Coturnix japonica: one gene and its partners. The protein of the gene in region 5 interacts with the protein of the main gene of each other region in a biochemical or structural test. Links are inferred from orthologs where the notes say so. Each region holds a gene or a part of one and is shown on either strand. Other genes may lie near its edges.

Region 1 (4,269 bases), on a different chromosome or scaffold from region 5:
GTAAAGGGACAATACATCTTTAAGGAATAAAAAGCCTACACTGCTTCTCTTCATTTCTTTGCTTGCTAGATGGCGAAAGCAAGTCTCCATCGGTCGCCCTCTTCCACTCCCCCCCCCCTTCCCAAAACGTTTATGTGCTACATAAGGTAAAAACTATATACACAGGTAGTACAATGAAGCAAATAAGGAAACACCTAATTGCACAATGCTACATCCGATGCTTTTAGAGGCAGGTCTTTTTTTAAGAGTGTCTAAACTTTTAGTGTTATTGTCTGCTTTTTTTTGTTTGTTTTGCTGAAGTTGTTTTTCAGTGCTTGCACAGGGTCCCCATCCCATGGAGACCGACGATATGTATTCATCTCTACTACGACTTTTTTTTTGTTTGTTTGTTTGTTTATCTTCCTGGCTTCACCGCCCCCCGATGAGCAAGGAAACACGAGTCCTCCGCCCTGCAACGGGAAGAAGACGGGGAGAAGACATTAGAGAGGCTGAAAGCGACGCGCTCCCTTCAACGGGCTCGTACCGCTCCCCGCAGCAGGGAAGGCCCGGCCCGGTCACGGCCCGTGCGTCGTCCCAGCCCCGCGGCACTCTAAGCCCGGCCGCCCCAGGGCCGTCGGCCGCCTCCGCTCGGAGCCCGTGGGGCCGGGCCGCCACCGGGCCGCGGAGCTGCCCCCGCCCCGAAGGAGCGGGCGGTGGTGCGCTATTTGCATAGAGGCGAGGGCTGACGCCTAACCCTAACCCCCCCACCCCCCACAGCAGGAGTAATTTGTTGCAACTTCTGCTTTGCAGCTTAATCTCTTCGGCACAATCGCGAACCGCGTTCGCAAACCTTCCCGCTAAACCCCGGCCCCGAAACCGCCGGCGCGATGTACCACCTCCCTCCGCCCCAGCCCTCGCGCTGAAACAAAACAACAACAAGAACACCACACACGGCTGCCATTAACCCGCTCCCTTCCCTGGAAACTCAGCCAGCGCCTGAAACTAAAACCACAACGACCGGGGAGGAGAAAAATAAAAAAAAAAAGAGAAAAACAACACAAAACCGGAGCACAAGCTCTCCTCTCTCAGCCCAAGAGGCTCCCGCTCAGCCCCGCTTTTATCCAGAGCCCTCCTGGGCCGGAGCTCCCTGCCACGGTGGGACAGTGCGAACGGCGCCGAGGCGGGGCAGCCCCCCAGCACCACGACGCCGCGTGAAGCCCGGTCCCGAGCTCGGGGCGGACACCCCCGAGGCATCCTAATGCCCAGAGCCCGAAGGGAACCTACTCGGGGAGTTTACGTTTGATGTCGTCTCGGGCTCGATTTCTTGGGCGTTTGCTCCACTGAACTGGCACTGGGGGAGTCTTCTGAAACCTCCTCTTCTGTTGTGTTGGCTCTTTTATTTTGAGGAGAGGAATCTAGGAGGGGAAAATTAAAAAACAGGGGGGGGGGAGAAGACCGGTTTAAAACGCTGTCCCGCAAGGTGCTCGCTCGGCACCCGGGGGCGGGAGGAGAGACGGGGCCGGGGCTTATTCCCGCACGTCCCCGCATCCCTACGTCAGCTACCGGGCTACGCGAAGGTGGGCGCGGACGGGCTTTTCTCTGGGCAAAGAGACGCGCGTTTTAGTTTCGCCCCGACTCCGGCGCTCGGAGCGTCCCCTCTTCTCCTCCGCAGAGGGGCTGCCCGAGGGGCGCCACTCGGTCCCGCCGCTCACCCGCGGTCCCCGCCGAGCGCGGAGCTCCGGGCGCTCGCGGGCGGCACCGGGGGCGTTCGGGCGGGAGGAGGCGGGGGCCGGGCCCGGCGCTGCCCGCGGGGTACGTTACCGTCGGCGGCGGGTCTTTTCCTCTGCCCGGCGCACTGCTCTGCAAAGTCCGTCTGACCGCCAGCAACACTGGTCTTCCCGCCTGCACAGTGGGTATCCTCTGAGATTCCCTGAGAAGAGGCGCAAATTGCTGTTTGGCAATTCTTGTTTTCATCCAGGCTCTGACAGACGATGGACTTGCATATGGCTTTGGGTAGCCTCAGTGGTCTGAAGGACAAGTCGGGCGAGCTCCCCTTCTCCACGGCTTGCCACTCGTACCTGCCTTCCAGCGGCTTGTGGTTCTGGAAATCGAAATTCCACTTCCTCTGGCATGCCTCTTCCATTTCCTTGCGGTGCTTCTTCAAGTCCCTGTTTAACTCTTCGTGGTTTATCGGCCCGAAGAGGTTCCTGCAGGCCGACGGCTTCGGGTACTCCGACTGTCGCGCCTCCATGCGCTCCAGGGTAGGGCTCCCATTAGAAATGCGGACGTTTGACATCTCCCCCTCCCTTTCTGCCGTCGCCGATGGCGCTGGGCTTTCTCGCGGCTCTCCCCGCTCTTCCTCTCCGCTCCTTACCCGCGGCCGCTCGCAGGTTCTCCTCCGCGGTCTGTCTCCGTACGGCCCCCTCTCTGCGGCCCCGCCTCGGCCCGCGGAGGAGAGGCGGCGGCGCGCAATTGCATAAGCGCCGGGCCGGCCGAACCCCGACAGCCGCCGCCGCCGGGCAGCCCGGGCGGCTCCGGAGGGGAGCGGCCGAGCGGGGAGCGGCGCTGCCCTCCGCGGCCCCGGGGGCGGCCTCGCGCTGCCGTCGGCACGGCCCCACCGCTGCCCGCACGGCCCCGCCGCTCTCCCCACGGCCACGTCGTACGGGCGGAGAGGGAAAAAAAACAAGGCGAGACGAGCCCTTTTCTCAGTTGCCCAATATGGCGATTGAAGGGAGGTTGACGAAGGAGAAAATGATTGACAGGACGAGTCTATTTAAACAGCGGAGCCGAGCCATTGGTTACGGCGGCCGGCACCGCCCCGTCGGCACGGCCATACCTCGCCGCCGCCGCCGGCTCTAAAGGTGGCCCTGGCCGCCGGCCGCCCCTCGGCGGGCGGGCAGAGCGTGGGGGGCACGGCACGGCTCCGCTCCGCGCACGTGAGCCCGCCTCCCCCTGCGGAACATAAGCCTGGTGAAAGTCACGCGAGTCGAGGGGACTAGCTGCATTTTGACTCGTTGTGGCTATCGCTCTGCTTGCACAGGGTTGGGCGGGCTGGGAGCTGCGCTCCGGCTGAGGCGGGGGAGAGGGTCACTGCCCAGCATCCTCGTAGTGCTGCCCGCAGGAGGAAAGGGAGAAAGCGAGGGGTGGCTTCTGCTGCACTGCCGGCAAGGAGGGCCCAGGTGTGGAAGGAGCTGTAAGAATTCTCAGCAGGGAGCTGTATTCTCAGTAAGCAGGGGAAAGAGAATGAAAACCTTCAAGTTTGTGTGTTTTGAAAGGTTAGTTGAGCCAGGAGTCATGGGCAGGGATTTTTGAGCTGTTTTTCTGATTGCTGCAGCAGGTCCGCTGGAGTTAAGAGCAGTGCAGGGTTCTCCTCTGGGCTCTCCTTGTTCACACTCACTCACACTACAGTCAGCATCTCTTGCTCAGCAGGACAGCCCCACACACTGCAGGATCTTTTCAGACACTGGAGGTTTGGGACTTCCCCAGGGCCCAGGTAACCTGGATACTACAGACCCCACATACCAAAGTGTCTGGCCTGGCACCCTCCACAAAGTCCAGCTGTCCAAAATCTTGTGGCCTTAAAGCTTTGGAGCTTTTGCCCCATCTGTACTCAGACACACACTTTGCTTCAGGCCTTGCAGTTGCAGTGGGCCACCAAAACCTACCCTGTAGTTGGTGCGTTTTGAACTGGAGCCTCACCTGTGCAGGCACTGGAAAGGGAACAAGATCAGCATTTAATGCTTATCCCCAGAGTATGGTTGTCTGTGGGCCTCCTTCCCTAAGGCAGCAGCCCCCTGCCTTGCTCAGCCTTCTGTCCTGGGTCAGCCTCTTGTCAGCACCGAGTTCAAAAAGGGATGTGAGCATCCAAAGAGAAAAATAAAAACACTTAAAAAACACAAGGTTGAAATAAAATGTCAGCCCTGCTATTTTTGTTTGCCAGAACTTTTACCACAAGTTGTTTTCCAGCTCCTTTCAGCAACCACAGGATCTACCCATTCACAGAGACTTGAAGCTGACATCCTGATGTCTGCATCTTTAGGTGTTTGCTGTTGGGATTTCTGGGTTGTTGGGTTCCTTTGCTTTGTTTTTTGAAGTTGCAACTCTGTAGAAGAAAAAAAAAAAGCCTGTGTGAGGTGGCAAAGTGGGACCTACTCATCTGCTTCATTCGAGGGCTTCTCTTTTTATTCTCCAGGCTTTCCTGTCTTTAACTTAGCCACCAGAGTTTTCCACTTCTCATGTGAGGTGTGGGACACTTGGGTTGTTCCCTTTAGCTGTGCACATGAGTGGCTA
Region 2 (3,935 bases), on a different chromosome or scaffold from region 5:
CTTGCTTGGCAGCATCATTTCTGTGCGAGATTTCATGAGGAATATTGAAACGGTTGTTCAATATTCCACAGCCTGTGTCCCAGAGATGAGGAGAAAGAAGAAGGGTGTAAGGGCCAGGACATCACTGCCAGCATCCCCTGCTATAAGGAAAGGGACGGACCCATGGGACCCCCCTGACCTGTCCCAGTGCCCCTCTGTTCATCTCTGGCACGTGTCCCCATCCCTGTCCCAGCTGACTCTGCTCCAGGAAAGTGCTGCACTTCCAGGAAGGGCCGTCCTTGCAGAACAGGACAGAGGTGCGCTTGGCTCAGGGGATCCTAATTAAGCAAGCCCTAAAACAAGCCTCATTATGCCCAATCAGCCTGGCAGAGCAGAAGAAGACTTCTGGAGGCACCCCAGCCCCCCAGGGAACAATCCCCGACCTCTACCCTCCCCTCAGCTCCTCTCCAGGGGATTTCTTCCCCTCATTTCAAGCACAAACAAACAGACTGCACAAAATGCCCCAGCCTACAGTGATGGGATTCATCCAGCCCACTGGTCCCCAATGTGTCCCCAGCTCTGGGCCAAAGGCAGCACCAATGCCACCACCAGTGGCTGAGGGCCAGCAGTTGTTCAGCCACCACCACTCCTGCTCCCTGCCCTTTGCTGCTGCATGCAGGGAGATGCTTGGCCATCCAGCACTCATCCTATTTCAACTTGGCATCTGCTGCTGGAGAGCATCCCCTAATGTTTGATCCTCACAGACACTTCTTGCCCTAATCCCAGGGATGTTGTTCACTCTGTAACACTACTGTTTGGGATACTTTGAGAACCCACCAAACTGGAGCCTGAACGATACCAAGAACTCATTGCCCTGCTGCAGCACCCATGTCCCCCCAAACCTGCAGTGCTGAAGGTGCTCTGCCCACCAGAACTTAGTCCTGCACACCACTACACATTGACCTTTTCCTTTGCACTCCCCATGCACAAATACTTCATGCTACCATTCCAGCACCCACCCCTATTTAGAGCCCCCTCCATCAGCCCCCTGCAGCCTTTTCTGCATGCTCTGAGCCCCTTCTGTGTCTTCCCCAAGTCTTTCTCCCATGTCCATCCCTCAGCACTGCTCTGCGCTGGCTCTGCCCCCAGCCCTGCTCCTTCCAGTCCCACAGGAAGCACTGCTGGTTTCCCCATGCCGCGCTGCAATCTGGTTTGTGTCCAAAGCCTCCAGATCCTTTCCCACAGCACAAACTGCCTGGGCTCTTCTCTCTCAAGATCATGTACAGACATTTAATAGTTCCTCCCAAAGCTCAGTGGGCTGCTGCTCCCAACCTGCTCGCTCCTCCCCGAGGATAAAACCACCCCCCTCTCCATATTGCTCATGGGGAGATGCCCAGAACTGAGACCAGTAGGACCCCCCTGCAAGCACTCAGGACATTTGGTGGCTGTTTCCCAACTGCAGCCCTTAGTGCTGAACCCACTGCTTTCAGCTCTTTGCCTGATGCTTTAGCAGAAGCCCCAGGTGATCCAGGGCAGGGATGGAGCAGAAAATATCCCTTTGCACCCCCAGCTGCACCTCCCTGCTGGCAGATGAGCACAGGAGCAGGATGCCCTGTTTCCACAATGTCTCCAAAAGTCCTTTTGTGACTCACAGCACTGCAGGACGTGCAGACCAGGCTTTGCTTCAGACCTACCACCACCTGATTGCATTGGAGACCCCAAGGACAGCTGAGTGATTGCCCACACTTGTGCAACCACTTGGAGAGGCCCACCCTGAATGGGTGCAAGCACTGAGCACAGCACACAGATGTCCCCTCCGTGCTGGCCTGGCCCACAGGGATGGGGGGGCCACTAAGAGCAATGAGTGGAGAGGGGTGGCACCAGCTGTGTTTGGATGCATTATTGCTGCTCTGCCTGATGCAAGCATGGGGTGAAGCTGAGCAATGCTGCACACAGCAAGGACCTGCATCCCTGTGCCAGCCTCCTGCAAACCCACCCTGGAGTAGTGTGGAGGTCAGCAGGAAGCCCCTGCTGCTCCCTGCGATGCTTTGCACCAAACTCCCCATGGTTCCTAGATGGGGCAGTCAGGCCCTGCAGCCGGCATCCACTGCACCCAGCTCTGCTTGCAGCCCCTGCCTGTGACAGCACAGTGGTAGTTCACTGGGGACAGGCAACAGCCCTCTGACAGCCCAGCACATCACAGGGAAGGACCTGAGGCTCCCCAGGGATAAGCAGAGGTTCCTCAAGCCCTGCCACAGCATCCCTTGGGGGAGTAGAGGGGAAGTTACCCAATATGGCTTTATCCATGGGATGCCACCACCCTCCCAGGGCTGGTGGGCCATTTCAGGGTGCCAACCCCCACGTTATCCCCATCAGCAAAGCCCCTTCAGGGGTCCTACATCCCACCCCGGCTCCCTGCCTTACCTCACGTGGGGTCCCAGCGGGTTAGTGCCGCTCCGCGCGTCCGCAGCCGCCCCGAATTCCTTTCTCTCCTCCTCCGCTCTCTTTATCTGCAGCCTGCGGAGGCTCTTTGCCCTCCCAGCCTTCCCCAGCTGGCAAGGCTTCCCCGCATAGAGGAGAGAGATGAAGGGGAGGGGGGTGGGCTGGGGGGAGGAGAAAAGTAAAACAGAAAGGGGTGTGGAGGCTGTGCCAGCGCTGGGGCAAAGCCAAGCCGTCGTGCTGCGCCCTCAGCGCATCGCAGCCCCCCGACGTCCAGCGGGGCGGTGTGCGGGGTTAAATACCGCAGGAGGAGGGGGAGGAGCGGCGGGGCTGCCCCGCAGCGGAGTCCGCCACTTCCTCCCCTCCGCCCTCTGCGGGACTCCGCTTCGAGCCAAACTTTCGCTTAAAGCCCAACGGAGCGGCGGGATGGGGAGGGATTAAAAGAAAGAAAGAAAGAAATAGAAAACTAAAAAGAGGAAAAGCTCAAGTGGTGCCGACAGAGGGGAGCGGGGCTGCGTTAGGGCCCCGCGAATGGGAAACAAAAGGAGCCCGGAGCTGCCCGGCTCTGCCCTTCGAGCAGAGCTGCTCCTCATCTCCTTGTGCTTGCTTTCAGTTCTGGCCTTTCTCCCTATTTTATTATTCTTTTTTTGTCCTCTTCCCTCTCTCTCTTCCCCCCCCCCCCACCAAATCCCCTCCCGTTTTCTTTTATTCTTTCTTCATTTATTTATTTATTTTATTCCTTTCTCAGGATATGAGGGGATGTTTAGAAAAATCTGCTGCCCACGCCAGCAGCTGACTCATGTTTTTATTAAAGAAGGCCTGTGCTGAACTGACTCCGTGTATTCCCTCTGGACTCCTGCCTGGGCCAGCACTGCCCCCCACCCCCCCCATTCCCCCATCCCGGCCCCACAGCCCTCAGCCAGGCTCTGGGACCACCAACACATGCCCACAATGGTCCTAGGGGAGCATCCTCTGGGAGGCCTCGGAGTGGTGGGTTGGTTGTTTTTGGAAAGGGGAATAAAGGATAATGTGCAATTGGGATACCCTGGTGTGGGATGCTGGGGATGTGGGGATGGTGGTGGCTGGATGGGGTTCATTTGGATGCTTAGGGGCACAGAGCTGTCCTGTACTGCTATGTGCCCCAGGAAGGAGCCCAGTCGCCCTGTCATCTCCCTGCTGTACCTAACAGCACCCACCTCTGCCTTGGCCATCCCCTTGTGCTGAATGCCCATGGTGCGCATGGTAATGTATCTGCTTAGATCCCTCTGCACGCTTTGGTGAGCTCAGATCAGTTTTCTGACAATCTCTTGATGGACACAATTATGGTTTGTCTGCATTGGGATTTGTAGCAATTTGGTTCGCCTTTATGACAAAGTATAGAGACCTTCTGGATGGAAACTGTCTTCTGAACCACCCGCTCTTGTCTTGTTTCTGCCTTGGAGATGTGCTTTATTCTGATACAAGAAAACCATGAAAATGTAGCATCTCTCATGGATGAGTTTTCCTGAGATGATGCC
Region 3 (4,300 bases), on a different chromosome or scaffold from region 5:
GGAGCGCAGCAGGTGGGACGCGGAGCCCCGTGGCTTCAGGCGGCGGCCCCGCGAGTGCAGACAACCTGGAGATTAACAGGAGACATCCCCGGGCCGGGAGGTGGGAGGGGGCGGCCGCAGTCGCCTTATCAGGAAAGTCAAACCCATGTTTCCTTTTAACTCTTCCCCCCTGCCCTCCCCCGGGAGATGCTCAGGAAGCCTTTCCCGGCCGGGCAGTGAGCGGCGCCCCGCAGACGCTTGGAGACAGAACCTCCGGGACAGCCGGGCAGGAGGCAAATTGCCCCCCCTCGCCTTGCCCTGAGCGCTCATTCAGCCGCCAGAGAAGAGAACTGCCCGAACTTGAGCCTCCCGCCCCTGCCCAGGAGGCACTGTCAACCCGAGCCGGGCCATGTTTCCTTATTCCCCCTGACAGACCCTAACGGGACAGGATGTAAACCTCCAGCACCTTTATTTGCAGCCATGCCCGAAAGCTCTGAGAGAAAGCACGACTCTCCCTATGACCCAGCACCCTTCCAGCGCTTGGCCTTCCTGTGTGTGCATGTGGGCGATAACACCGTTCCCCACTTCCAGAAGCCAAAGTCCACTCTCGCACAGCTCAAGTGCCACGACCGCTGCCTACTCCTGGCTGGGATTGGCAGGAGGGCGAGCCGGGGGGGTGGGGGGGAGGCAACTTTCGTCTTCGCACGTCCGAGGAAGTGGCAAACTCAAGGGGCTTCTGCGTGCTGCGTGTGGAAAATCCCCGCATCGCGGAGGGGGCCTCGGGGGAAGAGGTCCCTGCCCGGGACTTACTGTGCTGTGTCCGGAGCCGCGCAGTACCCCCACCCCCACCGCCCCGCAAACACCCCCGTCACCGTCTCTGCTTTCACAGTGCTTTGAAACCCACATTAAGAGCAGAGTGTGCCATCAGACTCTGGATTAGGGCAAAAGCGACTTTACATCAAGGTTGGGCAAGCTGACATACAAGTAACATGCTGAGAACACCAGCAGATAAATATATATATCGGGGAGGGGGGTGGGGGGATGGGGGCCTGTTACACAGTAAACCCCCACAAAAAAAGTCCTTCTTCCCCTCCACACACACACTCTGCAAAGTAGAACCTGGGAGTGAAGTTTCCCCGTCTCATGAATCGAATTAAGTTTCACCGCACGAGAAATACGCACGCACCCGCAGCCGCACAGATGTATTTACACACCAGCCGTGCACTCACTTCCGAATGGCACGGATCTTCCCGACGCCACCACACACGGGCGTCAATCACGGCGCTCCCCCGGGCCGGGGGTACCGGCGGCCTCGCAGCGCCCTCCCTGCGCCTCCCCCGGGGCAGCACCGCCCGTGCCCGGCTCCCCGCAGCCGGGAATACGCGGCCCCCGCCTCCCCGCAGCCCCCCGGGCACGCGTGTACGTTCGCGCAGCCTTCCGCCCCCGCGCAGCCTCGCGCCCCCCGGAGCACCGCGACGAGGCGCAAATAAAGCGCAGCCCGCAAAACCCTCCCCGGAGAGAAAAAGAGCTCCGAAATCCCACCTCCGGCTCTTCTCTGGGAAAGGAAGGAGAGGGGAAAGGGGGAGAGGGAGAACCTGTGCGAGTGGAAAAAGGATCGGCCTCAAACATTTCCACGAGTTTTCTTGGAGCAGCGCTGAGGGAGGAGAGGGGGGGGGATACGAGGGGGAAAAGAGGGGGGGGGGGGGTTGCGGGGGTTACTGAAAAGCTTGTTTTGCAAAGAAGGAAAAGGCTCTCACCGTGATCGCGGCGCTGCACCAAACCCCTCTCTCTGTTGTATTTTCTTCTTCCTGCGGTTTGCAAATAAATCCAGCCCTAAAGCAAAAAAAAAAAAAAAAAAAAAAAAATTCTTTTCCAAACTCTGCTTTCGTCCAACTTGCAAATGAGAATCAGAACGATCGGCTTGCAAAAAAAAAAGTCCGGAGTAAAGTCAGTCCTCCCCTCTGCCCAGCTCGACTGTAAGAACGTGTGTGCGCCTATGTGCTATAGTAATAATCAGAACACCTCTCCGGATCTGGGTGGGTTTTCTGTTCTCCTCCAAAGAACTCACTTCTCACACACTTTCCTTTTTTTCTCCCTCAATGAACAGGAGGCCGAACCGCCAGCACCGAGTCACCTTTCTTTTTTTTTTTTTTCCCCTTTTTTTTTTTTTTTTTTTTCTTGCTGCCGTTGCAAAGGATCGAGAGGAAGGAGAAAGCCACAGAAAACAAAATCAAGTGGATCTAAAATCCGATGGCAAAGCTTTCTTCCAGCGAACTCATCCGAGGAAGCAACAGCAGCAGCAGCCGGGCGGGGGGGGGGGGGGCCGCGCTGCCGAACGCCGCTCGCCGCACGCTCCTCTCCCTCTCTCCCTCGGCTTTCTCGCTCCCTCTGCGAGCGTGTGTGTGTGTGTGTGTGTGTGTGTGAGTGTGTTGCAGGCGGCTCTGCGGTTTGCGAGCGGGGGGGTGGGGGGGGTGTTTGGGGAGCGCAGCGGATTTGTGGTGGTGGTTGTTGTTGTGTGTTTGGAGGAGGTGGAGGAGGAGGAAGGTTTGAGATCTGAGCTGGAGGGGCTCGGCGTTTTTCTGCTCGCTCTCTCTCTCCCTCTCTCTCTTTTTCTTTCCGGAGGAGGTAGGGTGATCTCTCTGCAAAAGCAGCAGTAAATGGCGTCATGTGGATCTGAGGAGGAACAGAGCAGTTGTTGTCCCAGAGGATATATCGCATCCGGTCCCAGCTCATTGGCTCTGCGGGGCTACATTCACTGGCGCTCCCAGCGCCCTGCCAGCACTCCGAGCTGCGGGAGGCATTCAAAAGGGCAGCGCTACCGCCGCTTCCACCACAATCGCGGCCCCGCTCCCGGCCCCGGCCCCGCTCCCGTCGGGCCCCGGCGCCGTGCGGAGCCCCGCGCCCCTCTCCGGGCCCGGCCGCAGCCTGTTCTCGCAGGAGGCAGCTCCGTGCGCGGTCACACGGCGCTCGGGGCTGCTTTTGTGCTCGCGTGTTTATCCAGGGGCCAGCAGCGATCGGGCTACAGGGCGGTCGAGGGGAGCTGCTTTCCCTGGGGGGAGCGGGAGACCCATTCCCAGGTGCTTCCCCTCCCCCAGCCATGTTTTCTTTTTTTTTCCCTTTCTTTTTATTTTCTTTCTTTCTGTTTTTTTTTTTGTTTTTTTTTTTTTTAATCCCCCTCTATGGAATAAAAAGTTTAAACTCTCTGCTCCCTACCCCCCCAGCCGGCAGCAGGAAGGGCCGCTTATTGCCCGCGGCATTGTGCCGCGGATTAACGCGAGGAGGCGGCACGGCGGCGCGGAGCGGGGCCCGCGGGGCAGCGCGGGGCGGGCGGCGGCAGGGGCACAGCGGGGTCTCCAAGAGCCCCCCGGGGGGTGTTTCTCAGCGTCGTTCATTTGTAATTTCGCTCGCTTTTATGAAACTTCCATTGTAATGGATTCCCACTCGTGTACGGGACGCGGCCCACGGGCAGCTGATAGAAATGGCTGTTTGTGAGAGAGGTTCCCTTGATATGGGAGCAGCCGGTCATCTCTGCACGGGCTGCAGTGCCGTCAGGCCTGGGCACCCCGCGCCGCCAGCGGGTCTTTAAAGCGCGCACAGCGGCGTATCCACGTCGGCATGCACAGAGCGCTCGTACACCCCTATCACGTGTGGCCCTGCTTAAAATATACCCGGCGTGCCGAGCAGCGATGTGGCGCGTTATTTACATGAGCAAATTCTCGGGGCGAAAGCCCTGAGAGCTCTTCTTAATGCTGGGAGGCAGTTGGCAGCGCTTCCTCTTCTCCACCTGCTGTCATCGCTGCTTGAGAGAGGGGTCACTGTTAATAAAAATGGGGTGGGAGGATGAGGAGGGGGCGGAGAAGGCTATGTAGTACTATGTACTAACATTATGAAGCTGAGAGTTATTTCTCATAGTTTCTCTATGGGACGACCACAGCTCTGCGTTCATCCCTTCATGCGGCCCTAGTAGATCCACGGGGTCACCAGTGATGAGTGGGATTTGCTGAGTATGAACCTGGGCATCCTCAGAACTGTGTGCTACGTTCAGGCTGCGCCGGGAAATCCATGGGATTCATCCGGGAGGGATGAGCGCGGGTTAGCATAGGAACGGGAGAAGAATGATGTTGATTTCACTTCACTGTGAAGCTTAGTAAAGGCAAAAATAGGTAATGGACAACATGTAGAAGCTTATGGACGAGGGAAAGCCTGCTTGATTTTTTTTCAGGATATAAACCAAGCACAGAAATAGTGTATAAATTAGAAAATCCACCATACTGTGTTTTACAGAGAAATCAGAAGTTTAAATGCCAGTTCTAAAGTACAG
Region 4 (3,500 bases), on a different chromosome or scaffold from region 5:
GCTGCAGGATGCCCTGCAGGTCAGAGAGGCGGTGCTGGTGCTGCAGATACGGCGTGGAGCGGATGATGGCGTGCATCAGAGACAGATACTCCATCCTCAGCTGCCAAGTGGGAGGGGAGAAGAAACAGGGCACAGTGAAAAATTCAAAATGAGATAAACAAGCGTGCCAGCCTCCATTACAGCATGAGCACAAGGAGCAGCTGCTGCTGTATGACCAGCCAGACAGAGCTCCAGAGGCACTGCTTTTCTGGAGGACTCACCATTAGCTATGGAGAACTGTGCTTTTCCCACAGCACCTCAATAACGCTCATGATCCACTCTCAAACATAAGCACATTCTCTGCCTCTAGCGCTAATAAAACACAGGAGATCCCTCCTTCTGCTACTCACAGAGGGGCCCTTTTCCCAAAGGTCCCTGAACAGAAGGGCAGAGACCACCAGAGCCTGGCAGACCTTTCAAACACACTTTCCTGCTGCCACATGCAGGCAGGACAAATCCTCCCTTCCTTCTCAGCCCCTTAGACAGATTTCAGCACTCTGAAATGTTCTGCCTGCCCCAGGACTCCAGCTCTGTCTGCACCATCAAGCCCAACAGGTGAGGAGAAATACCATTGCTTTGGGACCACGCTCCCCTACTCAGTGCCCGTGGCTTTGTGTGAGCACCTTGTCTCCGGGGGAGAGATCAGCGATCTGCCGCACCAGGATGTCTATCAGGACCATCATGTCTGTGTGGTAGAAGATGCTGGCTGTGTCCTTGCTGGCAAAGATGTCCTGCAGGAACTTCAGCACTGAGTGGGGTGGCTGAGGCTGATGCTTGAAGATACAAACTGGATCATCTGGGGGTGGCAGAGAGATCGCGTTAAGCCACACACTCCTTGCTGCCCACCTCCTGCACCTCCAGTGCCAACCCCTGCATTGTTCCCCACAGGTTTTGGGGAGGGGGCTGCCCCCACCTCAGCCAGTCGCTCCCTGCCCACGGCCAGCTTTCATGCCAGCAGTCCTTAGTGCCTTGCACAAAGCTGTGTAATCAGGATGGCAGCTCTGCAGGGCACCAAGCTGAGACCAAACTCATTAGCATTAGCATTAATCATTGTTTATGTTTCACCTATTATCCCAGGTGAAAGCTCATTAGCACATTACCTCCCAGTGCCTCCCCTCCTTGCTCAACAGCCACCACTCATTTTCTCCCTGGTTTATTAAGTCTGGTCCAATGACCCCTCTGAAAAGCCCACCAGAGCCTGCATCAGAAATAAGCTTTCACCATGGAGACCAGGCTAGGACTGTTCTGGAAGCAATAAAAGAAACACCTCCAAGTTTAATTTACCCACTGTACCCTGTTTTCTACCAAAACATGGCCCTGCAGACCACAGAAGGGGCTATGGGTACTACAGGAGAAGGGCACAAGAGAAGCATCTTTCTTTGGTTCTGGTTTTCCTGCTCCTCAAAGTAAGGAAATCCTTTTAGAGAATCTCATATGGAGGAGTCTAAACAAAGGCTTTTGGACAGGGCCAGACAGAGAAGCACTGAAATGCAGGCTGCCCTCAAACTGGTATAGCGTGGAAACTGATTTGCGACCCCAAAGGCATCTGAAGCCTGAGTAAGACGAGCTGCGAGCTTCACAGGGTGAGTTACTTACCAGCAAATCAACACAACAAATCTCAAGCTGCAAAGCCCCTGTGCTCCAGAAGGTATTAGAAAGCACAATAGCGGCATGCAGCGCAGGCAGAAATACCTGGCACTGCTCTGCCTGTAGTGATCTCCAGCTTTCTAACAATCTGCTGTGCATGCAGTGGATTTCACTCCATGCCTGGAGCAGGCAGAAAACTAAACCCTCTGCTGGCCAGGCTGAAATGGGAAGCTCCATTCTGAGCAGCACGTCAGCCCCAGCCAACAGCTTCAATGCCACCTGCACCCCCAGCTCTTACCAAGCACCATTCCTGGGAGCTGCATCCCCTGCCAGGCAGGTGACAGTGCCGCACTCACCTCCCCTGTTCAGCAGCAGCAACAGCTTCTCCGTGAAAGTCTTGACATTGGAGTGCTTGCTTATTGTCGTCATGATCACGCTGTGCTCTGGAACTAGGGAAGAAACCTGCTCAGCACATCCCTTTGTTTGCTGAAGACAACAGTAACAAAACAAAAAAGGAAAGCAGCACAGGGCTCCCACTGTGGGGAATTGCAGGGAACCAACCCACCAGGGCTACAAAAGGTTCCAGGGTTCCACCCCTGGGGGCACTCAAGGCCAGGCTGGATGTGGTTGGTAACCCTGTCTGTGGCAGGTGTTGGAACTGGGAGATCTTCAAGGCCCACTCCAACCTAAGCCTCTCTATGAGTCTATGAACATAACATGTTTTAGCAGAGTTTCTGAATCGACTTTGCACATCTGCAATGCAGGACAAATGAATCTCACAGGCAGAGAGATAACACATTAATCCACTGATAAGCAACCTGAGCATCATTTAACAGGTTCTTAGCATCAGAGAACAAATCACTGCAGGCAATGATCCCCCAGAAACACGCTGCTGGTCACACATTATTGCCCAATTACTGCATCCAGGATCTCTAGGGGTAACTATGCAAAAGTGTAATGAACGAAAGCAGCGGAGACTGTACTAAATCAGCCTCTGTGCAATCAACTTTCACATGAAATTAGAAACTTTCACACAAATTTTAATGGTGTACAACTTATAACAAGCAAATTACTAGCCATGTCCTGCTGTTTTATCCTCCCCTTTCTCCACAAAGCCACGGATAAGGTCCTGAAGCAGAACAGCAGTAAATAATTAAATACAATTGGAGCAACAGGAGACCTTGCAAGCTCATTCTGGGTTAACAAGTGTCAGGACCTGGCACTATTTCCCAGTTTCCCAACAACAAGCTTTGAAGCTCCCAGTCAGCCCCACAGGGAATGGGCAGATGCCCTTCTCTGGGGATCACAGGCTTTGTCTATTAAGTAGCTCAGCAGAGGAGGGAGGATTGACAGTGAGGGAAAGGAGGAGAGTGTGCAGCTCAGGCTAAGGGTAATAATCTCAGCTCCAGCATGTAAGCAGTGAGTAAGGTTCAAGAAGTGCAGCTGGATAAGCAGGTTTGTGAAGACCTTCGTAAAGCAAAAAGCTTTCTTTCTGGACAGATACCAAGAAATGCCCATTGAAGCATGCTCCCTTCCAAATCAGCTGTGCCTACAAGTTGGCCATACACATGTCCTGCAGTCCAGCAGTTGCTTCCATCCAGCCAGCTTGAATGTATAGACAGAAATCCACTGGACTTCATGGCTGCTGAAGGGTCAGCTGGTTGGACATGGGCTCTCAGGCTGATTTTCCCTCTAGAGTTTTGTAGAGTATTTGAGCAGATACAAGTAGAAACACAGTGTGCTGCCAGAGGCTGAGAGAGCTGCACAGGTTATCGCAACACCATCAAGTGCCAGTGAGATTCTACATCCCTGCTCTTCATCCCCTCAGTGCTCCAGACCACCTGATATCCTGACAAGGCAGAACAGCACCAAAC
Region 5 (3,500 bases):
GGCTGTTTTTAGTCAGTGTACCTGCCTTGTCTGTTGCACTGCACCGCTTGGCAGAAAAGCAATGAAAAATAAAGCAACAAAACTTCTAGAGAGAGTATGATTTGAAATAATGATTTGTGTATTAATGCATGGAGTTTATTATAAATTATTGATCCACCTTGTTTTGAAGGCTGATAAAATGTGATGGATTGGGATGGCTGACTATGTGTTTTTAAGGGCTCGTCTTATATGAACAATCTTTGAGACACAAGTGGAAAGAATAAGCTTGTGTCTTCGTCTGTTTTGCTGGAACTTGAAATGTAGTAAGCTTATTTTTTTGTTTCCTTCAGGTTTTGAATGAAGAATGTGATCAGAATTGGTACAAGGCAGAACTCAATGGAAAAGATGGCTTCATTCCCAAGAACTACATAGAAATGAAACCACATCCGTAAGTAGAGCCTTGGTGGTAGTGCCTGTGTTTGGTTGGTTTTAAGCATAGATAAATTGACCTTTTCTGAAGACATTTAAACTGCTGATGGCATCTGGATCATGTGTCAGCAGTGCTGGAAGTCTTCATTAGTGCATTAGCAACCTGAGGAAATTACAAAAAGTTTGTATACTATCGTGTTTACTGAGCAATAATGAAGAGCTCTCTAAGTAGTCCAGCAGGGCATACAAAAACAAACTTCAGCCAGCTGACCAGGTGTAAGAAAGAGAGCATTCCTTTTCTTAGAGCTGGTGTCAGTGTTGTTGGAAGGAGGTGTAAGTATTTTTTCAAGAGAATTTAGAAGGAAAGTAATTGAAAATGCCTTTATATGTTAAGGATTTCACTCTTACTGCATTTCTGCTTCCCTAAATTAGATGAAATAGGGCTATTGTGAGCATGTGCTCATGAAATCATGGTAGCTTCACTGCTAGGACAAAATGTGAGAAGTTGCATAGTTTGGTAGCCTGTAGTAGATTAACAATAAATAGATGCAGTTCAGTCATTTCTGCTAGAATTCATCTGATCTCCGTGGGGATACCTGTGTTGGGCTCTTCCATAAGACAGTTCAACTCCTTAACTTTCTCTGTTTTCTTCTTGCTTACTCCACAGGTGGTTCTTCGGAAAGATTCCCCGAGCGAAGGCTGAAGAGATGTTAGGCAAACAGAGACACGATGGTGCCTTCCTTATCAGGGAGAGCGAGAGTGCTCCTGGGGACTTCTCTCTCTCGGTCAAGTAAGTAGTGCCCAGAAATAATCGTGTGGAAATCAGGGCACTTGATGCTCATTTTGACTCCTGGATAGATAAGTGATTATCAGTGCTGAGGAGCGGCAATAATCAAGATAGCATACCTATTCTTCTGGTGATAATGTATTTTTGTCTTTATTAAAGAGGAAGTACAGATAAGCTCTGTTTTGTAATGAGCCTACATGGCTGACTTGGTGGTGTGTTGCTGTCTGACTTAAGTGTTTTCAGGCACTATTTGTTAATTTGTGGATCCCATTTCTCCTTCCTCCAACTATGAACTGCCCAGTTTGTACATACTGCTTTCCATCCTCCTTTGTTCCTCTTCCATAGAACAAGTCATTATTCTCTTCTGTCTTTGGATAATACACTTCCAAATATTTTTCATGACTGCTTGGCACATGCTTTGGGGATATTCATCTTAGCCAGCACTGGGACATGGAGCTAATGAAAACAAATTCTTTTCCATTTCTCAAATGCATTCCATTAATGGAATTTCAATATAGAGGAATTTCTTTCTGTCTAGTAACATTGAAGGTAGGCAGGAACAGTTCCCATCCTTGTATAACATTTCTAGAAATGCTAACTTTTAATCAGCAGCAATTTCTGATAGTTAACATGTGAGCCATGTTTAACCATCTCACAGCTCTGTATAAGCCGCCATAAATTGAAGTATTAAAAAGTTGGAAGAGTATGGGATGTAAGGTAGCATAGGAAGGAAGGAATTCCATCCTCAGCAGCTGATTTTTATCTTTCTTAACTTTCTGTAACCTTCCCCTTTCCTTCCAGAAATGAACAGGGTTTTCTTTAGTATCTTATATTGATTATTCACGCACAGTTCCTTGTTTGCTGTATTTTTGGCTCATCTTTGGGCTGTACCCAGATTTTGTCATCCTGTACACCAGTCTTGATCCAGCCAACAAACTGAATTAAAACCACTCTTTTTAGAAAGGTGTTTATAGTTCTGCTGGGTACAATAATCTGAGCTGGAATACAAGATACGAATGGGAGCTCCATTGCAGACATCAACTTCCTTCATGAAACTTGGTTTTGACTGTAGCTCTGCTTATCTTGTCAGCTTAGTGTTGCCACCTGGTGGTAGTTTGGTTTTTTTTTTTCCTGGTGGATTAATTTAGAAAAAGCTTTCTTCCACTCACCCCCAAACAGTGATTTGCAAGATTTGAAATGATGAGAATCTCTCAGGTTGAAGAGGAAACAGCAAAGGCAGTACTCACTGATTGTTTCATGTTAACGTTGTAGCCAAGACTATGCCTGCACTTTAAGCTCTTGATGCCAGGTGGAGAATGTACTCCTCACCCATTTTCAGTGTTTTTGTTTCAGAATAAAGTAAAAATGCTAACGTGCTGTTCATCTGGAAAAACTTTGGAGTTGCACTTTACGTAGAATAAAAGTTGAATGCCATCACATGTCAAAATATAGAAGTGGAAAAGTCTGTCTGTTTTGCAATACATCATTTTTTTTTTGTAACTCCATGCTTAGAGACAGTCCTGCCGTACTTGTGGCAGTTCTTTTCCCAGCACTTTTTGTATGTTTTCAAGGGTCTGCTTCACAGCAGCCAATTGATACCTGCAATCATTGTCACCAGCTATGTCCCGAATGATTTTTGTGTTGTAAAGTCTCACAATCCTAGAAGAGTGCTCAGTGACTGTGTTCTTCTCTGTATTGTTTGCTCATTTCCCACAGGTTTGGAAATGATGTGCAGCACTTCAAGGTGCTTAGAGATGGGGCTGGCAAGTATTTCCTCTGGGTGGTGAAGTTCAATTCTTTGAACGAGCTGGTAGATTATCACAGATCCACATCTGTCTCCAGGAACCAGCAAATATTTCTACGAGATATTGAACAGGTGCCACAGGTAAGAGAACTGTTTGTTCAGAGCATATTTAAACTAATGCAACCATGGGTTGCATCTGGGATTGTATCTTGATGGTGATGGAGAAAAGCTGACTTTTTACCTGTAGGAGTTTATTTTTGGATCTTGCTGCCAGAGTTGTACTGGAAAATAATCTGGATGTTTGTGCACAGCCTACCTGCTAAAACTTAGTATCCATTTCTGGTGGTGTTACTGTTGCTGCCTGAACATTTGGCTTGTGTTAATGTTTTTGGGTACTGTTGAAATAAGATAATCCAATTCCTGTGAATTAAGAAGGTGTTTACTCCTGTTTTAGGACACAGTAAGAAAGCACAGTTATGTACTGGTTCATAGCCAGAACTGTCCCGTCCCGTCCATCCCCCCCCCCCCCAAAAGCAGTGAAATTTTGGTAGTAGTCTTGCC
Region 6 (3,980 bases), on a different chromosome or scaffold from region 5:
CTCAACTGATAAAACACCTGCCTATGCTGCATGGAATTACACCTCTGGACAGCAGTTTTCAACTGTCTGAAGCCAACAGCATTAAGTCTCAGGTCAGCCTCAGCATTTTCATCCTTTGTTGTTACCGTCATTCAATTTACTTATTATTGCAGAACATCACGCAGGTTTCTTTGCACATACTGGTAACTATCTTCTTTTCTCAGTCTTTATGTTTAAAAGCTCAATGCACACACACAACAAATTCATTGTCTCAAAAATCCGACAGATGAACAGCAGTTATAAGACTCCTCACTTAAAATCCCTTCAAAATGCACACTGAAATCATAGTCGCACTGCCACAGATTAAAGGATCTCAGATTTTAAGCATGCTGACAAACCACAACCAAACGATGCATCCAGACCCTCCGTGCTCAACCCAAGCTCAGCTTCACCAAAGTCAGCCAGGATCAAGCACACTCCAGGCTGGCACAACTCATCCCCATTGCCAGAAGCAACCTGTTCCCCTCACACCCCATTGGGTGCACCTCGACCCAGTGCTGCACAGGCACCGGCCTGTGCCTAGGAGCTTGAGAGCAAAGAGGACCAACTGTATCCTCCTGTGGTGGAGATGGTCCATGACAGCAACACATTCACACGAAGTAGTTGAGTCCCAGCTGAAGTCCCACAGTGCTGGCTACAGGTCAAGGCCCAGGCAGCCCTGCTCTTCCCCTCAAGCACGTGAGTCCCACCACCACTTTCACAAAACACCCCGTCCCTACCTCACAAGGATCCAGCCCAGAGCATCATCAACCAAAAGACACAGAACGAATCATAGAATGGTTTGGGCTGGAAGGGACCGATCCATATCCAACCTCCTGACGTGGGTAGGGTTGCCATCCACTAGATCCAGCTGCCCAGGGCCCCATCCAACTTGGCTTCAAACACCTCAAGGATGGAGAATCCCCAGCTCCTCTGGGCACCCTACAGAACAAGCCACTTGCCGTCACCAGCCCAGCTCCACAAGCTGGCACTCCCAGCACAAGGGGTAACCAGGGGCAGGCTGAAAGCAGAACATCCAGTCTTAATCCACAGCTGATGCTGCAAAGTGCACCTGTGTACCGCCCTATTTTACATTTCAATTTGCCACAGCAGCTCAGCGTGATGATTCTAATACATTTCTTTTGGAGTTCAAACGTCAGCAGCCTTGTAAACCGCTCTGCTGAGGAATGAATTTCAGACGCCACTCAAAGAACTGTACTGCTCAAACTGTGAGACTCAGGGCTCATAGAAGTGAATAGTGCTGACTGCAGGATCAGATCCCCTACTAAGCATGGACATCGCTGCTTTCAAGGTGATCTTCGAGAAGTAAATTATTATAAGTAGTAGTGCACACTGACTGCGAGAAATAACCTTGCAAACCTACAAGCAATTACATTTATTACTGCATTGGTAGATTGAAAAGGGAATCGTGAACAATTAATTTTGACTACAGCCAACCACCAGCATTCGAGACAAGACACTGAACTGGAAAGTGAGCAAAAAGCTGCTTAACCAAATATAAATACAACCACTGGGACATTGTTTCAACAAGCATTTTCAAAGCATTCTTGATACGTAGGCAAATAAACCCAGGGCTTCTCAGTCAAGAAATAACGTTCTTAATCACTTTCCATTTGTGATGCAGGGAATATTTTTGGACCTGAACTGGTGACTCACACTGATATCAATGCACATTTGTCTTGAAGCAGGCTCCAACACCGCCCGCAGGATGGCTGTGCTGCTCAGACACACTTGTAAACTGAGGGAAACAGCCAGGGAGCCTCGCTGGCAGTTCTGCTGATCCAGACAAACAAACAGATCTGAATCTGGATTTACTGGATCTGAATGTTTCTTCATATCGACCCGCTTCTAAAGCAGAGATGAATCTTAGGGAAATTAGGTTTTTGTTCTTTTAAATACAAAAGTACTGCAGAGCCAGCAGTATGGACTGAATGAGAGTCATCATACAGAATGATTTATCACTAACACTGTTAAAGCAAGATACAATACGGCTGTGCTTTCTCATTATGCTAAATGTCACTTTGTCACTAGCACTATAAGTAAAATAAAAAGCTAAGAGACAGCACGGTGTCATCTCTTACCAACTGCCCAACATCATCCTAACCTCTTCTCACCATCACCACCCCTCGTGCTTTGATGCTGAGCAGGACACGGAGACCATGAAGCCAAGAAAGCGTCTCTGTCTCACCACGGCTCGGGCAGAGAACCGATGCAGAGCGGTGCCCAAACCCCTTCCGACCTCCGTGATCCCCCACATCCACATCGCAGAGAGCCGGGAGCAGCGGCCCAGCTTGACAGCTGGCCATGTCCGACCCGTGGCACCGTGCAGGCCGGGCGGGCACGGCCGCTCCCGCATTCCGCTCCTGCCCCCGGCAGCCCCCACCGCCAGCCCGGCCCGGCCGCCTCCGCTTTTGTTCCGACCCCGCTCCCTCCGTCCGTCCCCTCCCGCCCGCGGTTCCCGGCCGCAGTCCCGCCCGCCCGCGTCGCCCCGCCGGCCCCGCACACTCCGGCGGGGAAGGAGCGCGGCCCCGGCCGCGGGGCAGGGGCGAGGGGAGCCGGCCGGGCGCCCCGCGAGGCGAGGCCGGGACGGGGACGGGAGCGGCGCCCGCACCCACCTCCGCCATGAGCCCGCGCCGGCCGCCGAGCCCGGGGCCGGGCCGCCTACCACGGGCGAGAGGCGGCCCCGCGTCCGCGGCGGGGAACGGCGGCGCCTCCCGACAGCGGCGGCGACAGGGCCTCGCTCTGGGCCGGACTCAGCCGCACAGCTTCCGGAGCACGGCGGGAACGCCTTCCGGGGCGGCACGGCCCCGCCGAGCCCCGCTCGGGCTCCTCACCGCTCCGTGTGGGTCCCTCAGACGGTGCCGGCTCACAGGCCGACGGGCGCGGCGGACACGGGGCGAGGCGGCTTCGTAGTCAGCGGTTGAACGTGAATGTCCGTTGTCTCTTTGACAGTTCAGTTCTCCATCTTCTATTGGTTGCTGGTCCTATCTACAGTCATTTTTCATCATCCCAGACTGAGATGACTGCTCGTCCATTGAGATGCGCTATAGATGCCATTCTTTTGAAGACTGCTTGCAACTGTCTACAAATTATGAACCAACGTTGCTTTAAGTCACAGAATCACAGAATGACCCGGGTTGGAAGGAACCTCAAGGATCATGTAGTTCCAACCCCCTGCCTGGCAGGGCCACCAAACATACACCTTTACTAGATCAGGTTGCCCAGGGCCCCGTCCAACCTGGTCTTGAACACCTCCAAGTTCTTTGATGGCATTTTCAGTTCTGTTCTACATCACTCGGAACTTCCTTTTAATCAGCTTTGAAAGCAGAGACAACTTCTGTACACTGTAAGATTTATCATGGAATTTGGCCTTAGATTATTGCCCTTGCCTGTAAGCTACTTTAAAAATTAAAGACTATTCAGTTCTGTAATCAAGAGAGCAGCCCAACCGTATGTGAACTGTTATCAGTAGATTTATCTCATTAATAAAGTTTTGCCTTACTCATATTCTTAACTCCTGGGTCTGACAAAGAAGGAACTCTGAGGGGATGGAATGCCAGATTGCATTTCTGGAGTGTCCTTTGGATTCCATCCCATTTCACGTCTCCTCTAGTGGGCAGCCCTTTCTGATCAGCAAGAGTTGTGTACACTTCAGCATCAATACTGATCAAAGCCTTGGAGATGGATACCAGTTTCCATCCTAAATGTTTCAGCTACACACTGAAACATAACAGGCACCACCTAACTCAGCTGTAGGTGAGGGCTGTTATATAATGGTTCCTTTCAGGGTTTGTGACTCAGCAGCAAAAGCATGTTCCTGGCTGAAGTGTGGTACAGCATCTCGCTCTCTTTCTCTGTTGTAAGATGCTACCTAGGAGTGGAGTTTTATTCTATCAGTTCCAAAGTCCATTTGACACTAACAAAAACTTATTAAAAACCAA
Region 7 (4,300 bases), on a different chromosome or scaffold from region 5:
AGAGCCAGTACAGCGCCCAATATTCCCCATTCTGAACAGACCTGGAAATCTAAATGACAATCAGTTCTTTCTTATTTTGCAATCTACAGCACAAATTCTGCACCCTTCACGTGGAAAACTAACGTCGAGAAAATGTCATAGATGCTTCAGTGAAAACCAACAGTATCAAGTTAGTGCAGGTTGCAGTGTCTGCTTTGCATGGGATTCCTAGCTGAACGCTGAATAATTCACAGATCTCTTTAATGTTATTAACACATCAGACTTAATATCATTAGCCAACATACTAACATCAACCTACCAGGTTTATGTAAACACAAGAAGCAATTTAACCTGTATTTGAGGTTTGTGTTTTTAAGATAGTATCTCATTCTACCAACGTGTGTAAGGAGTTAGAAATCAAAATTATTGAAGACTTCTACATATAGAATTACCATTAAAATTTGGTACTGAATTCACTACGTCAAGTGAAAACCTGTATCCCCCCTCTTTCAGTTTAAAACCATTCCCCCTTAGCCTATCACTATCCACCCCAGTAAAAAGTCGTCCTCCATCCTGTTTCTAAGCTCCCCTCAAGTGCTGGAAGGCTGCAATGAAATTTCTCCTGAACCTTCTTTTCGTAGCTTTCGGCTCCTGCTTTTTGTTGTGACATCTCCAGAGTGAATGCATTTCAATCCTCCTGGTACTCCCATTCTTTCAGAACCGGGTGATTATTGCAGCTGAACACAGCTTCCTCTTGGACAAAAAAAAAAGAAGCTTGGAAAATGTTATGCCTTCAAAGTCATGTGGCATCCACACAGACCTCCTTACAGCCACCCCTGCAGTCAGATTCACCTCCCTGTTGTGTTCCTAATGCCTCCTCTAAAAGTCAGCTGTATCTCTAGATCAATGATATAGCCCAGAAACAAGAGGAAGCGATTCTGATAGTAAACCGTGTGATGTTTCATTCAGAACATTGGTGAACACATCTGGATTTTAGCAATCATGATCCTACCACCTACACAGTAGAAGTACATGGTATAATTAACCCGGAGAAAGACTCTTTAGAAAGAAGAGACTGTGCCAGTAAGAAACATTATTCCACTTAACTCCATTCTTCAGGCAAAGATTGGTATTTGTTGGAAAACTGCATTGATCATGTCACTGCCAAGACATCACAAGCATGGATTACAGCGAGGTACGCTGTTCTAGATGTATATGATCTGCCACCATGTCACTTAAAACAGCTGATACTGAAAAGAAGGATGCAGTAGAAACTGAGTTATGTGATGCAGAAGCACATACTTACTAACCGTAAAATACAAGCAAGAAACCTTAAAATACAAGCTTCTCATGCCTGTCTACAACTGGAAGCAAATCACTTCATCTTGTTACTTTTAATTTGAATATCAGTCCTCAGTCAAACCTCACTCTGTGACAGTCTGAGCAGAGACTGCGTCACATCATTCAGAGAAAGCAGGAAAAAATATACCAAATGCTGCACTGGAAACATGCCACAGCCCTCGTTCCTTATTAACCTCACAGCTCCTTATGGATTCCACCTCAGTAATTAAACTGCACCCCTGGAAGTTGACCACCTCCATTACAGCGCTGCTACTCAACATCATTTCCTGAGCGCTCAGCCTGCAACAGACCAAAATACCAAGAGAAGTTTAACAAAAACACATCATCATACGAGCACATGACTTCCAACCAATACAGAGTTAGCGAGCACTGAGGCTCTGCAGGAAATGAAATCCTCTGCCAAAAAAAATGACTTCTCTGAAAAAGATAATCAAGATTTCATAAGAAAAATGTCTATTTTCCCACTGCCAACCAACAGGAGATGCCCATCCTGCAAGCTGGTGCTTTCACAGCTCACATGCTGCTGTTGTGAAGCTGGAGCTCGTTTATTTCACTTTCATAAAAACTCATTTTTTGCCCTTTTTCTAATGTCCGCTGTCTGATGTGACTGAGCACATCACAGTATCACACACAGCTGCAGCTCCCCTCACACCTCCGGGATAAACACACAGAGCTCTTTGGAGGCAGAAGACCTGCTCACAGCTGTGTGTGTTAACCTGGATCCACCTTGCCAGCATCCTCAGAATCATCCGTGTTTGCAATAACAACACCAGAACTTGGCTCGTTACAAAGTAATAACAAATGCCACAATATAACTGCACGAGCGTCACCAGCCAGCTGCTCCTCGGATCCGCTCTATCGCTACGGACCGAGCTCAATGACAGCCGGGACCCGCTGCTCACAATGGGACCGGCAGCTCCAAAGGCCGAGAGCGGCCGCGACGCGGAGGGACGATGCCGGCAGCCGGCGGGGAGAGCGGCGGGGCCTGGGCTGCACCGAGCCACCCTGAGCGCCGCGAGGAAAGGGAAGGAGGGAACGGCGAGTGATCCAGCACGGACAGGAGGAACGGAAAGTCGCGACATGGGCGATGGCAGCGGAACGAAACGGAACGAAACGGAACGAAACGGAACGAAGGCAGCGGAACACAACGGAACGCAGCGGAACGCAGCGCCGCCCGCCTGGAGCTCCGGCCGGGGCAGGCGCTGGGGGAGCGGAGCCGGCGGCAGCGGAGAACGGCCGCGAGCAGAGCGCTCCTCATCGCCGGGTCAGAGCGGGGCCGGGCGGCCGCCCCTCACCTGGTAGATGGCGGCCCAGCTGGCGGCCTGGTCGAGCCGGTGGAACTCCTTCTCCATCTCCATGGCCGGAACAACGCGCCCGGCCTGGCCCCGCTGCTCCGGCTCCAGCTGCTGCTGCCTCGGCCCGGGCTGCCCGCTCCGCATCTCACCCCGCCCTGCTGGGCCGGAACTACGCAGCCCGACACCAGACGCGACGTCCGGGGCGGCCGCAGCCGCGGGGTTGGAGGGGGAGCGAGATGTGTTGGTTTGGAGCCGGGAAATGAGTTACTGAGCTTAGGAACGTTAAAGCTTTAGTTTGCATTTCTGATAAAATTCAGCATTGTGAGATTACCTGCGTTAAATCAGCCAACATCATGAATAGCAATCCAGCTGCCTGCAAATACGATCCATGCTGCTGCTGTGCTGTCTGAGTGCAGCTCTGTAGTCACTAAGCCAGCTGTAGCAGGCGGCATCTCCAGCGTCCAACTGCTGTTAACTTGCTATTAACAGTCACCACACCTAATGCTACTGACTGTACGTATCTGTGCCATTAGTCTACGTTAACATCCCCTTTCTTGAGCAGAACTGTAACATTTTGTTATACAGAGCTGATCTTCCAGCGTGTCCTTTTGCTGTTACACCTCAGGCATTCCTAGTTCTGATTCTCTGTTTGGTTTTGGTTCAGCATTTGGGGTTGTTCATATGGAAGGTTCATTTGTCTTCATTTTGGTTTTTGCTAACAGTGCATCATGTAAGACTCAACAATTCAACTATTAGCCCTGGGTTACACTGAAGAATCTGTTGGGGAGCACTTCTGGCCTCTTTTTGGTGAGGATAGCTCTCCAAAACACGTTCGAGGTGATGGCATTGCTTCATTGCTGAGTAAGCCCTCCTGTGGTTTCTAATCCAGGTGAAGCAGGCGGTCCACTTGGCCTCACCTCCTCGTGAGAACAGACAATACCCTGCAGGCTGTGCTGAAGAGGAAACAAACAGAGGACCCTCAGAGTACAGGGGTGTAAGAAAGCAAGTGGCAGTTTGTCAGTGTACGGCAGCACATTTCATCCAACACACAAATACCAATCTCTGCTCCAGGGCACTTCAGGGCTATGACTGTGGGAAATGGCATCAATCCCTGGCTGCTGCAGGATCACAGCATTTTCACTGCAGTGATGCATCTCATGCAGGGCCATGCAAACCCAAGCCCTTGATGGAAGGAGTGCTGTGCAACAGCAAGACACGTGGGTTTAGTAGCCTATGGATATAACATGTGGCACAGGGAGAATCTATATCCTCAGAGAGACAGAGAAAGGGACTGGCATGGAAGTGGTGTGGATTGCCATGTGCTGGGTTGCCCAATCAGCTAGAGAACAGCTGCAGCCACAAGAGGCTGGTTTCACTGTGCAGCTGTGGCCCTGTAGAGATCAAGGCCACAACGTGAGTGGTTTCACATGGTGAAAAGGGATCAGGAGCAAAAGAAGCTGCAGACTGGAAACTGAACGTTGGTGGTAGTAGTGAAAAGGAGGTGCAAATGGAAAAATAGATATATGTTTCTGATGGTATAAAAAATCTAAACATTTTACTAAGAGCACAGATTTCCTGATGTGTGGTTATGTTCTCATACAGCTCATCAGGTGACATATTTTCCATGTTAATAGTTTGGATGTCACCATCTGCTTGCTATGACT

The links.
Region 1: the proteins of GRB2 (region 5) and CDKN1B form a complex in vitro, tested with the Homo sapiens proteins (2 studies listed by BioGRID and IntAct, with this or other methods). The link is inferred for Coturnix japonica from reciprocal best matches to the Homo sapiens genes GRB2 and CDKN1B.
Region 2: the proteins of GRB2 (region 5) and PDGFRB form a complex in vitro, tested with the Homo sapiens proteins (2 studies listed by BioGRID). The link is inferred for Coturnix japonica from reciprocal best matches to the Homo sapiens genes GRB2 and PDGFRB.
Region 3: the proteins of GRB2 (region 5) and SPRY2 form a complex in vitro, tested with the Homo sapiens proteins (2 studies listed by BioGRID and IntAct, with this or other methods). The link is inferred for Coturnix japonica from reciprocal best matches to the Homo sapiens genes GRB2 and SPRY2.
Region 4: the proteins of GRB2 (region 5) and NCKIPSD form a complex in vitro, tested with the Homo sapiens proteins (2 studies listed by BioGRID). The link is inferred for Coturnix japonica from reciprocal best matches to the Homo sapiens genes GRB2 and NCKIPSD.
Region 6: the proteins of GRB2 (region 5) and FRS2 form a complex in vitro, tested with the Homo sapiens proteins (2 studies listed by BioGRID, with this or other methods). The link is inferred for Coturnix japonica from reciprocal best matches to the Homo sapiens genes GRB2 and FRS2.
Region 7: the proteins of GRB2 (region 5) and PTPN1 form a complex in vitro, tested with the Homo sapiens proteins (2 studies listed by BioGRID). The link is inferred for Coturnix japonica from reciprocal best matches to the Homo sapiens genes GRB2 and PTPN1.

What each region holds. Positions count from the first base shown.
Region 1 is NC_029516.1:66,307,391-66,311,659, reverse strand, and holds the start of CDKN1B (cyclin-dependent kinase inhibitor 1B), read right to left. Parts: upstream 2,801-4,269; 5' UTR 2,276-2,800; coding exon 1,801-2,275; intron 1,395-1,800; coding exon 1,273-1,394; 3' UTR 1,264-1,272; intron 450-1,263; 3' UTR 1-449. UniProt on the Homo sapiens protein: Important regulator of cell cycle progression. Inhibits the kinase activity of CDK2 bound to cyclin A, but has little inhibitory activity on CDK2 bound to SPDYA. Involved in G1 arrest. Potent inhibitor of cyclin E- and cyclin A-CDK2 complexes.
Region 2 is NC_029528.1:4,822,763-4,826,697, forward strand, and holds the start of PDGFRB (platelet-derived growth factor receptor beta), read right to left. Parts: upstream 2,801-3,935; 5' UTR 2,404-2,800; intron 1-2,403. UniProt on the Homo sapiens protein: Tyrosine-protein kinase that acts as a cell-surface receptor for homodimeric PDGFB and PDGFD and for heterodimers formed by PDGFA and PDGFB, and plays an essential role in the regulation of embryonic development, cell proliferation, survival, differentiation, chemotaxis and migration.
Region 3 is NC_029516.1:136,861,073-136,865,372, reverse strand, and holds the start of SPRY2 (protein sprouty homolog 2), read right to left. Parts: upstream 2,801-4,300; 5' UTR 2,048-2,800; intron 1,813-2,047; 5' UTR 1,737-1,812; intron 1,618-1,736; exon of another isoform or gene 1,522-1,617; intron 433-1,521; exon of another isoform or gene 1-432.
Region 4 is NC_029527.1:6,683,894-6,687,393, reverse strand, and holds part of NCKIPSD (NCK-interacting protein with SH3 domain), read right to left. Parts: intron 2,076-3,500; coding exon 1,983-2,075; intron 836-1,982; coding exon 663-835; intron 101-662; coding exon 1-100. UniProt on the Homo sapiens protein: Has an important role in stress fiber formation induced by active diaphanous protein homolog 1 (DRF1). Induces microspike formation, in vivo. In vitro, stimulates N-WASP-induced ARP2/3 complex activation in the absence of CDC42.
Region 5 is NC_029533.1:9,398,553-9,402,052, reverse strand, and holds part of GRB2 (growth factor receptor-bound protein 2), read left to right. Parts: intron 1-329; coding exon 330-427; intron 428-1,075; coding exon 1,076-1,198; intron 1,199-2,911; coding exon 2,912-3,080; intron 3,081-3,500. UniProt on the Homo sapiens protein: Non-enzymatic adapter protein that plays a pivotal role in precisely regulated signaling cascades from cell surface receptors to cellular responses, including signaling transduction and gene expression.
Region 6 is NC_029516.1:32,158,793-32,162,772, reverse strand, and holds the start of FRS2 (fibroblast growth factor receptor substrate 2), read right to left. Parts: upstream 2,801-3,980; 5' UTR 2,655-2,800; intron 1-2,654. UniProt on the Homo sapiens protein: Adapter protein that links activated FGR and NGF receptors to downstream signaling pathways.
Region 7 is NC_029535.1:12,162,838-12,167,137, forward strand, and holds the start of PTPN1 (tyrosine-protein phosphatase non-receptor type 1), read right to left. Parts: upstream 2,801-4,300; 5' UTR 2,781-2,800; coding exon 2,637-2,780; exon of another isoform or gene 1-2,636. UniProt on the Homo sapiens protein: Tyrosine-protein phosphatase which acts as a regulator of endoplasmic reticulum unfolded protein response. Mediates dephosphorylation of EIF2AK3/PERK; inactivating the protein kinase activity of EIF2AK3/PERK.